2 linked regions of the Sus scrofa genome follow. The protein of the gene in region 2 interacts with the protein of the main gene of each other region in a biochemical or structural test. Links are inferred from orthologs where the notes say so. Each region holds a gene or a part of one and is shown on either strand. Other genes may lie near its edges.

Region 1 (6,099 bases), on a different chromosome or scaffold from region 2:
CCCCTCGGGAGATGGAACATGCTAGGCTGGCCCGATCCTGACCTCACCCTGAGGGGGCTGCAGGCGGAGGATTCGATGAGATTCAAACTCATCCAGATGCACTGAGCTGTGAAATGAGACCTCATCCACCCGAATTCCTGGCCCATAACCTGGAAAAAGAGAAAGACTCCTCTCCTAACCCATATTTTGAGGGAAAAGGGCAGGGAGGGGATCTGACTCTTAACTTGCCTCCATGAAACCTGTGGCAGTGACCACTGCCTTGGAAAGACCCTCACCTCTCAGTTCTGACTTCCCCACACAAAACTCTTCCGTCAAGCCAATGCGCATCTCTGTCAGAGAAAAGAACATCAGAAAAAGCCGCCAAAGAACACCACGCACATCACCAAGGAGCCAATCCCAAACGCCACCCTGGTCTAGCCTGCAGGCTGCTCACCGGAGCCGCTGGGCAGAAAGCTCTTGAGTCGGATCTCTCCCTGCACGTCCACCTTCAGCAGCGAGCCCTGAAAGCGCCAGGAAGGTTCATGTGCAGAAGGGACCTCCCCGACATGTCTCCCAAACGTCACCTGTCCTCAGCAGCAAGGCTGGGGGCCCACACTTACGTTAGAGGCTATCAGTACGGACAGTCTCTCGACCACGTCCAAGAACACTTCGTTCTTTTGGCTCTGAGGAAGAGAGGGGGATTTGGTGGGTGGCGATTGACTGGCTATTATTCTAACACAGACAGGCAAAAAAGGACAGGTCACTAGAGGCTGGAGCTCTGGGATGGGGACACAGGAAAGGGAAGGGACGAGATCACCTATGTCTAGAGGAGATGGAAAGACAAGCTGGGCTCCGGGACTCTGATCTGCACCCGTCAACCCCACCCTTACCTGGTCAGAGCGGCTGGACAGGACAGGGCGGCTGGCTGCACTGCTGGGGGCCACTTTGCTCTGTTGTGTCTCGGCCCCAAACTGGAAAGCACCCAAAGCAATCAATCCTCAGGTCCGACACTCCCCACCAACCCTCATCCATGCTGGCCTCCTCTGTCCCTTGACTGACCAAGCCAACACTGCTGAGGTCAAAGAGGCTGAAGGGCTTGCTGACCACGGCCTCCGTCTGGATGAAGTTCCTCAGCATCTCCATGGATGTGGTCTGTACGTAGCCATAGTCCTGCGGGCAGAGGAAGGACATTTTTTGGGTGGTCAGTGGGGCGAAGGGGTGAAAATGAGTGGACTTGGTCTCCCAACCACGGGATGTATCTTCAGAGAATAGGGGACAGGGAAGGACGTTCTCAGACCTCACCAGCACTTCATCCAGGAGTTCGTAGACCAGAGCCACGTTGCGGGAGATGGTCCCCTCGCCCAGGGAGCCACAGTAATCTCCCAGGAGAGTGGCTAGCCTGCAGAAACACAATGGAGTGTGCATATCGGCCTCCTCTCCCACCCCCACGCCCATGTGCCCAGCCCTGTCCTCCTCACCGGGAGAGCAGCTCTAGGAGGCTGAAGGGAGAAATGTTCTCTGAAGTCGTGGCCACCAAATAGAGGCCGTTGTGTCTGATGTGAATAAAATGACGGTCATCGTGGTGCTGAGGTAGAGGCAGGGGGAAAAGCATTAGGAAACGAGAGTTGTAATGATTCCTGGCCTGTGAGACAGGCTAGTATCCGGATTCCCCTACTTACTAGCAACGTGATTTGGGGCCACATATGAAACCTCCCTAGAGCCCAGCTTCCTATTGTGTAAATGGTATTAATAACAGTACCAACTAACTGAGTAGCTGAGGACAGAGATGTGTAAGGAACTGTGCCTGGAACACGGTTGCTGCTCAATAAACTGCCATTAACATTTGGACTACTGCACTTCCCAAGTAGAAGCTCTCAGGGAAAGAGCCCTGGGAAGATCCCCGCACTGCCCTCCCCACCCCAGCCCCCGCCGCCTCGGAGCGCTGAGCGCATCCCTTCCACCACCACCCCCCACCCCCGCCAGTGGTTACCATGACAACAGGAGACTCGTCTCCGGGCAGTCCCGTCAGCTTCCGGTAGAAGAGCTCTGCCACATCCCGGCCGCCGCTGTCTCCGCGGACTGACGGGATAGAAGAACAGCTAAGGAGCCAGCGACACTGGCTAGCTCGGAGGCACCAGTCCCACCCAGCCCCAACCCCGCCCCGCAAGCCAAGGATACAGTCCTTGTAGATGAGCGGGTCCCCCTTGGAGGACAGAATGAAGAACTGGGAAATCATGGCCGTTCTGGAGGGTAGACCAGGAGGCAGCGAAAAGTTGGGCCTGCCCCGCCCTGCGGCCCCGGAACAAAAGGACGGGAATGGGCTGGCCCTTTAAGAGGGCTTCTCCTCCGACCGCGGGAAACCTGGCGCCTGCCCCGCCTCGCTCAGCCTTTCCCTCTCAGTACCCGCGCCATTTCCCCGTCAGTCACCCCAGGTTCTCCCGGTGATTGGTTGACGCTGGGGCCTGTGGCGAGTGGGCGGGGCGGAGGACCTCCTCTCTGATTGGCCCGCACACAGCGGCGCTGGTCACATGGGGGGCGACGTTTCGCGCCAATTTCGGTTGGTCGGCTGCGGACCACGGCGCAGACGGTTTTTGCTGCCCAGGCAGTGAGAGGTCTGAGCCCGCCAACTGCTGCCGCGCAGCCCTGGGCAGCAATGGCACTTAAGGACTACGCTCTCGAGAAAGGTGAGGGTCTGCAAGCGTGGGAGGGGCGTCCTGCGCGGAAAGGTTCCTGACCAACACCTGTTGGTGGTGGGTTGGGTTCCTGAGGGGCCTGGCCCGGAGCGCAAGGTCAACGGTAGGGTCGGGAAGCGTCGGGGCTGAGGCCTACGGTAACTGGGAGGCGTACGAGGCGCCAGGGTCGGGGAAGAGCTGGTAACCGGGTCCGGGAAAGGAGTGGGTATCGTGGGGTGGGGGGCGGACACCCCGGCTGGAGGCTCCAGAAGGAACGGTCGCGCCTTAGACCAAGGCTTCCAGGGGCCGTAAGGTTCAGGGTCTGGCACCCGCGGGCCCGCTTCCTTCCACGGTCTTAGGCACTCAAGAGTAGCCGCGTCCTCCCGCGACGCGCCGAAGCCCCGGGGGCGGGCAGGCCTGAGCCGCTGCGCGCCGGGATTGGTCGCGTCAGGCTAACCTCCAAGCGGAAGTGAAGGCGAGCGGAAGTTGCGCGACACCGCTGGAGGGTGTCGTGTGTAAACAGTGTCCTTCCGCGCGGTGGCCGCGGAGAGAACTACTGAGGATGGGGGCGTGCCTGGGATGGGGGAGTTTAGAGGAAGACCGAGGGAAGAAGTGGTGGGGTGGGACGGAGTGGCCCTCGAGGAGCTGGCCAATCGCTGGACGGTCTCCCGCCCTGAGCGGAGGAATCCCGGGCTGTGAGGCGGCGGCATCATCTGGGCCCATGTGCTTCTTTGTTTACTAAGAGCGGAAGCAGTGGCGGGAGAGGGGGTGGGGCGGAGGACGGGCCTGGTGGCGGAGGTCCCGGTGAGAGCGGCGATTTAGGAGACAGAAAGAAAAGGGGAAGCGTTCGCGCGGAAGAAAAGCTGAGAGTCTTGAGATCTGGGTGTGTTGCCAGGTGTGGGAGGCCCTTGGAAAAGGGTTCCGAGATTTCTAACTAAGGCTGAGAGTGGAATTCCCTTGGGGGGTGGGTGTTGGGTAATATTCGCAACTGCCAGGGGTCCCTCTGCTCCCCCAGATAAAAACGGACTTGGAAAAGGAGTTTGTAGGTTTGTTTAAATAAATCTTCATTTATCTAATTAGTTCAGAGATCTCATTTTAAGTGAAAGTGAATCAGAGGAGTTTGGAGTAAGGTATCTGAAGAAAGATTGATCGTCACGATTTTACACTTTCCTTGTAGAAAAAGTGAAGAAGTTTCTACAGGAGTTTTACCAAGATGACGAACTTGGCAAGAAGCAGTTCAAGTATGGGAACCAGTTGGTAAGTCTAAGGTTAGGTAGAAGAAATGGGATGGTGGCTTAAGGAGCTACTAAGAAGTGGCCTGACTTGTTTTAGCAAGGCTGTTTTTCTCTTTAAGTGACAAGTTTAGCATCATACCTGTTAACAGTACTATATTCACAATAATTAAGGTATTTTTAGGAGTTAACTGAGAGGTGAGTATTTTTTCTGTCTCACAGTGCTCTTTCTGTCCTTTGGAGGCTTGGTAACTTGTGTGTTGAGCCACAGTGATGGGTTCTTGCCTGTGAACTTGGCTCTGTTGCCGTCTCCCCCCACCCCCAGGTTCGATTGGCTCATCGGGAGCAAGTGGCAATGTACATAGACCTAGACGACGTCACTGAGGATGATCCTGAGTTGGTGGACTCCATTTGTGAGAACACCAAGCGCTATGCCAGGCTCTTCGCTGATGCTGTGCAAGAGCTGCTGCCTCAGTACAAGGAGAGGGAGGTGAGGAAAATGCAGGGCAAGAAACTTAGGTTTCTGTTGAGAAGCTACTCGGGTATTTTCTTCTATTGCTGTTGTTAGGCCCTGACACAGCATGTGGAAGTTCCCATGCCAGGCATCCAACCTGAGCCACAGCAGCAGCAACGCTGAATCCTTAACCCATTGTGCCACAAGAGAACTCAGGTATTTTCTGAGCTGGCAAAAAGGGTGGTGATTGCTGCCTGGAGCCTTTTATGCTGTCTCCTTTCCCTATCTTACCACTTAGTTTTCTTATTTTCCTATCCTTTCAGGTGGTAAATAAAGATGTCCTGGATGTTTACATTGAGCACCGGCTGATGATGGAGCAGCGCAGCCGGGACCCAGGGGCAGCCCGGAGTCCCCAAAACCAGTACCCTCCTGAACTGATGCGCAGATTGTGAGTGGGCTCAGGGGGAAGTATGTGGGGGTTTGATCCCCAGCACCTTGCTCATCACTTTCTTCCCCCTTTAGCGAGCTGTATTTTCAAGGCCCGAGCAGTAGCAAACCTCGTGTGATCCGTGAAGTACGGGCTGACTCTGTGGGGAAATTGGTAACTGTGCGTGGAATTGTCACTCGCGTTTCTGAAGTCAAACCCAGAATGGTGGTGGCCACTTACACTTGTGACCAGTGTGGGGCAGAGACCTACCAGCCGGTATGTATAGAGCAAAGAATGGGAATGTGTTTACTTTTGTCAGCGGTTTTTGTATGAATTAATTTGTTTTGTGATGATTATATGTTGTCATTACTGGTCTGTTAATTGTAAAACACACCTGTGTGTTTTCATTCTTTTTCCAGCATGGGATGGCCTTTCCATCCATTCTGTGTTCTTGGTGTACTCAGCAATCCCATGTTTTCTATCACAGAGAAGAAACGTCATTTAGGTGACTAACTCTAAGGAGCCCTTTTTTTTCTCATTTCCTCTGGTGCTTTGTTTTTTGTATCCTAGATCCAGTCTCCCACTTTCATGCCTCTGATCATGTGCCCAAGCCAGGAGTGCCAGACCAACCGCTCAGGAGGGCGACTGTATCTTCAGACACGTGGCTCCAAATTCATCAAATTCCAGGAGATGAAGATGCAAGAACATGTGAGTTTGGGGGATGTGGTCTGGGGCTCAGGGAAGGGGGAGCTTGGGAGTCCGTTTGATTCTTGTAGTCGTTCAGAAGCATAAGAAAGAAAGTAGAACAAAAGGGGAGAGTCGAGGCAGAGAAGTCAGTGAGAGCAGGACGGGGTTTAACTGGAACTTTCTGAGTTGGGAAGAGTTTTAAAAAAAAGCCTAGTTTTCCTCTTGTCAGCTTGCTTGAGGCTAAGCAGACCAAGAAGTGGCCATAGTGTGTATAAGGAGAGAAAGGCAGGCCTCATGGACCCTTCTTCCCCAGAGTGACCAAGTGCCCGTGGGAAACATCCCTCGCAGCATCACAGTGCTGGTGGAAGGAGAGAACACGAGGATCGCCCAGCCTGGGGATCATGTCAGTGTCACCGGTATCTTCTTGCCGATCCTGCGCACCGGGTTCCGACAGGTGGTCCAGGTGAGAAAGTTGAAAATGAGGTGGTGGTTCCTTTTTTCTCATCTCCTCACTCTTTAACAGCCCCACAGAGAAGAGTGACAGCAAGCAACAGAATACCAAACAAAGCAGAACAGAGGGTTCTGTCAGGAACTCCTCAGGGACTCACATGGAAGGGCAAGTTAAAGGCGCTTCATTCATACCCTGGT
Region 2 (4,129 bases):
CTGTAGCTACTCCATGAGGTTACTGTAAAGTCAAGAAGATACATGCAGATGCTTAGATCTGGGCCTGGCCAATAGTAAGCATTCAATGTAGGCATTCAATAAATAAAGGTGATTATATTGATTGCATAAGATTCACAGTTTACTTTTCCCCATTGATTTAATCCTGACACAGTCCCCTGTGAGGCAGGGGTTATTATGACCCCCATCTCACAGATGAGGAAATTGAGGCCTAGAGAACTGAAAGTACCTGGACCAGGGTCGATATGGGGCTAACACAGTGTCTGAGCAGTATTGTAAGCCAGGTCTCCAGAGACCCAGACCCAGAGAGCCCCACCTTCCAGCCCTCTTTCCTCACAGGGGTTCTTCTCCCTCCAGGTCTCTCAGTGTGGGACTTAAGGCTTCTCCGTATTTGACTGTGAACAGAACAACGGCTTAATCTTTAGTTTTATTTTGTCTTTTTTTTTTTTTTTTTTTTGGTCTTTTTAGGGCCGCACCCGCGGCATATGGAGGTTCCCAGGCTAGGGGTCAAATCGGAGCTGTAGCTGCCGGCCTACACCGCAGCCACAGCAACGCCAGATCCAAGCCATGTCTGCGACCTACACCACAGCTCACCCACTGAGCGAGGCCAGGGATGGAACCCACAACCTCATGGTTCCTAGTCGGATTCGGAAACCACTGAGCCACGACGTGAACTCCAAGAACAAGGGCTTAATCTCAAACACCTTTCCAATTTCCAAGTGAGGGCAGTACCCACTCTTTCCCCAAACCCTAAACAGCCTGCAACGTGCTCATCCCAGTGGGAGGGGCCTGTTAGCGTTAGTCACCACGCCCCACACTAAGCCACGCCCACAGATATTAGCTCTGGCCCCACCCTGGGAAACAGGCTCCCTCAAACCTTCTTTAGCTGCCAGCCTGCGAAGTCCCTCGCGGCTTGGTGTCTACTACTTAAACTCAAGCCCTGTCTCTGGAGTCCGGCTCTCCGCCATATGCAGTCCCACCTCAACAACCAAAGTCTCGCAGCAGTGTCCATGGTTCTTTTTCCTGTGCTGTCACGTAGGTGAGCGACGGTCCTGGCCCCGGACTGCCACGCCCAGCGAAGTCTCTTCCACAGGATGAAGCCACGCCCCTAATTGCCCCACCGCCCCCGTTTCAGAAGCTTCTCGCTGTAACTCGTGGTCCCGCCCAGACGCCCTTATGACCCCACCCCCATGAAGTCCCACACTACATCCTTCGGCTCCTGGACCCCGCCCTCCCTGTCTCTCCTGAAGCTTGTCTGTGGCCACGCCCCCGCCGTTAGCCACACCCACACATAGCCCCGCCCCTAGGCTCCACCCCCAGGTGGAGGGTGGCGGCAGGCCCAGTGGGGCCCCCGCTGCCCTCTGCCCTGGGCGCTGGGTCAGAGCCTGCCGGGCACTGCGGGACAGGGCGAACGCGGCGGCCTGGGGGCTCGGAGGCGAAGATGGCGTCAGGCAGGCGCGCCCCGCGCACAGGGCTGCTGGAACTGCGCGCCGGAGCGGGCTCGGGGGCCGGCGGAGAGCGGTGGCAGCGGGTGCTGCTCAGTCTAGCTGAGGACACGCTGACCGTGAGCCCCGCCGACGGCGAACCCGGCCCGGAACCCGTCGCCCAGCGGGAGCCGGTGCCCGCGCAGCTCAACGGTGCCACCGAACCAGGCGCCGCGTCCCCGCAGCTGCCTGAGGCGCAACTGCCCCAGACGCGCTTCGTGACGGTGCACAAGGCCGATGCCGGCGGGCTGGGTATCAGCATCAAAGGTGGGCGCCGGGGCACCGAGGGCGCTGGTTGTGGTGTCTGTGGGACAGATGAGGGCGCCGGGGTCGCAGGGGCTGGCGGCGTACCGAGGACGTGGAGTTGGAGGACTTCGGTCTTGGGGGTAAGGGCGTCCGAGAGGACAGAGGGAACCCAGGAAACAAGGAGCATCAAGGTCGGAGAGGGTTTTGAGAATCGGAAGTCTTAGTTAGAAGGCAGATATGTGGAGGGCGTTGAGGGGCCCACCGAGGACACGTGGGTGGGGAGTTCCGTGCGGAGGCGAAGAGATCTAAGACTGGTTGCCTCTCAGGGGTTGCACGGCCATCAGGGATAAGAGGAGCCCCAGGAGAGCAAAGGATGGAGAAAGGGGTTTGAGGCCTGGGGGGCTGCTAGGCCATGGATGGGGGAGTCTTCAAGATACAACCAAAGTGGGAGGGAGGGCTAGTAAGGCCTGGAGTAGGAAGCATGGCCGGTGAGGAGGATTGCAAACTACATGGAGGCACCAGCTGGACTGAGCTCCCAGATAGAGAGAAAAAAAGGACCTAGAAACCTGAGGCTGTGTACCTAGGTGAAGAGTCCTAAAAGCTGGGTTTGAGTTTCCTGATCTGACCATTTGCACCTTGCACATGATTGAGACTGGCTCTCAGCCCCTAGTACTGCAGCTGCAGCTGGGATTGGATCCCTAGCCTAGCCTGGGAACTTACATATGCCTCAGGTGTGGCCCTAAAAAGAAAAAAAAAAGAGTCCAAAGTACCCACCCTGCCAACACATAGTAGGTGCCTGGTTAATTATTGCTGTTAGATGAGAGGAAAAATGGAGGCCAGGAAAGACATCCCAAGTAACTAACCATAGTGCTAAAAAACCCTGCACACTCCAGCTGCTGGGTTCACCATTCCAAACCACTTACTTCTAAGGCTCCTAGCTCCCAGCCAAAGCAGTGTTATCTGACTTGGGAAAGGGTGTTAGCCTTGGGAAAGAGTTAGCCCTGGGTGTGCACATTTCTCTTACCCTGATATTGGCTCTGTTCCTGGTGCTTCCAGACCCTTTGGCCTAGGTGAGGGGTGACTTGGCTACCACTGTGTGTCAAGTGCTGTGCCCAGTACTCTAGGCTCACAATCTACTCTAACCTGGCTACAAGTACTAAAAGATAGGAAGCATAATCCTCATTTAGCCGGTGAAGAAACTGAGACTCAGAAAAGTCAAATGGTTTTCCCAGGATCACATAGCTGGTAAGTGGCAGAGCTGGGATTTGAACCTCAATTTTCAGGCCACTAGAGAGTGTCCAGAGAAGTCACTTCTTCCCCATAGAAGGACAAACTTCCGTGCAGCCAACCAAAGGCATCTAAAAGGGTGAAAAGGGAGAGCCAGGGAGGGAGCGCCAGTTTTGCCCTCAAAACTTTAGCAAAGGATAGGGCAACAGGTCAATCCAGAAATTGTACACTCAAAAGGAGGAAGGAACTTAAGAGTTCATATAGAGATCCATTTTGCAAATGGACAAACTGAATCTTGGAGAGGAGGGGAACTTTCTAAGGTCACATAAAATACTCCCCAGCTTCATTGTTCCAGGTGAGGGTAAAGGTATTTTTAGGAGGTGTCAGGGGAATACCAGCCCCATTCAATTCTTCATGTATGGAGACTGAGCTCCTGTTGCCATGTTGACCTTTCCTCTAGGGACCAGCCCAGCCCAAGGCATCCAGGAATGATTATGGATCCAAACTGAACTGAAGTTTGAGGTGACCCTTTGAAAGGGTAGTTTCAGGTGAAGAGGGCAGATATAAATAGAAATCTCTTCCTTTTCTAGGCCTCAGGCTCTTTGCAGTGCAAAGAGCAAACTGTTGGGTCTTTGTGGGGCGTCAGGAGAGGCATTCCAATGCTACTTCTGCCACCAATTTGTTGTGTGACCTTGGAATTATGACCTCCCTTCTCTGGGCCACTAATTCCTTATCTTTGAGGATAAACCAGTAGTGTGGTATCTGAGGGCCTGACCGTGGAGTTGAGTGTTGGTTCTGGAGCCAGGAGACCCAGATTTAGATATTTGTTTTGCCACTAACCAGCTGGGTAACCTTGTCCAAGGGGCTTCTCTCCACACTTCAGTTGTCCTGATAGGGATCTGAGCATGCCTGTGTGGTTGGGGTGTCGTGAAGATGCAGTGAGACAAGATTGAAAGCGTTTAGCGTGGTGCTTGGCACTTGGTATGTGGAACTGATGTGAACTGTCTTTACTGTTTCTTATTTTAAAAGGGCATTCAGGAGTTTAGCAATGAAGCACTGTGGTAAATGTATTAGCTTCCCTCCCCCCCCATCAGACTGTAATTCAAATAGACTTTTGAAATCTCAAGACTTTAAGACCTTGGTTTCTAGCATGG

What was found.
Region 1: the proteins of SNTA1 (region 2) and MCM7 interact in a test that uses a peptide from one of them, tested with the Homo sapiens proteins (2 studies listed by BioGRID and IntAct). The link is inferred for Sus scrofa from reciprocal best matches to the Homo sapiens genes SNTA1 and MCM7.

The regions. Positions count from the first base shown.
Region 1 is NC_010445.4:8,009,955-8,016,053, reverse strand, and holds the start of MCM7 (DNA replication licensing factor MCM7), read left to right. Parts: upstream 1-2,058; 5' UTR 2,059-2,157; coding exon of another isoform or gene 2,158-2,215; 5' UTR 2,216-2,632; coding exon 2,633-2,663; intron 2,664-3,174; exon of another isoform or gene 3,175-3,546; intron 3,547-3,828; coding exon 3,829-3,908; intron 3,909-4,208; coding exon 4,209-4,373; intron 4,374-4,660; coding exon 4,661-4,785; intron 4,786-4,859; coding exon 4,860-5,040; intron 5,041-5,334; coding exon 5,335-5,472; intron 5,473-5,764; coding exon 5,765-5,914; intron 5,915-6,099. Other genes in the region: AP4M1 (AP-4 complex subunit mu-1), read right to left, coding at 43-149, 276-329, 434-500, 600-662, 870-950, 1,039-1,378, 1,458-1,564, 1,970-2,058 and 1 more. UniProt on the Homo sapiens protein: Acts as a component of the MCM2-7 complex (MCM complex) which is the replicative helicase essential for 'once per cell cycle' DNA replication initiation and elongation in eukaryotic cells.
Region 2 is NC_010459.5:36,943,433-36,947,561, reverse strand, and holds the start of SNTA1 (alpha-1-syntrophin), read left to right. Parts: upstream 1-1,329; 5' UTR 1,330-1,459; coding exon 1,460-1,769; intron 1,770-4,129. UniProt on the Homo sapiens protein: Adapter protein that binds to and probably organizes the subcellular localization of a variety of membrane proteins. May link various receptors to the actin cytoskeleton and the extracellular matrix via the dystrophin glycoprotein complex.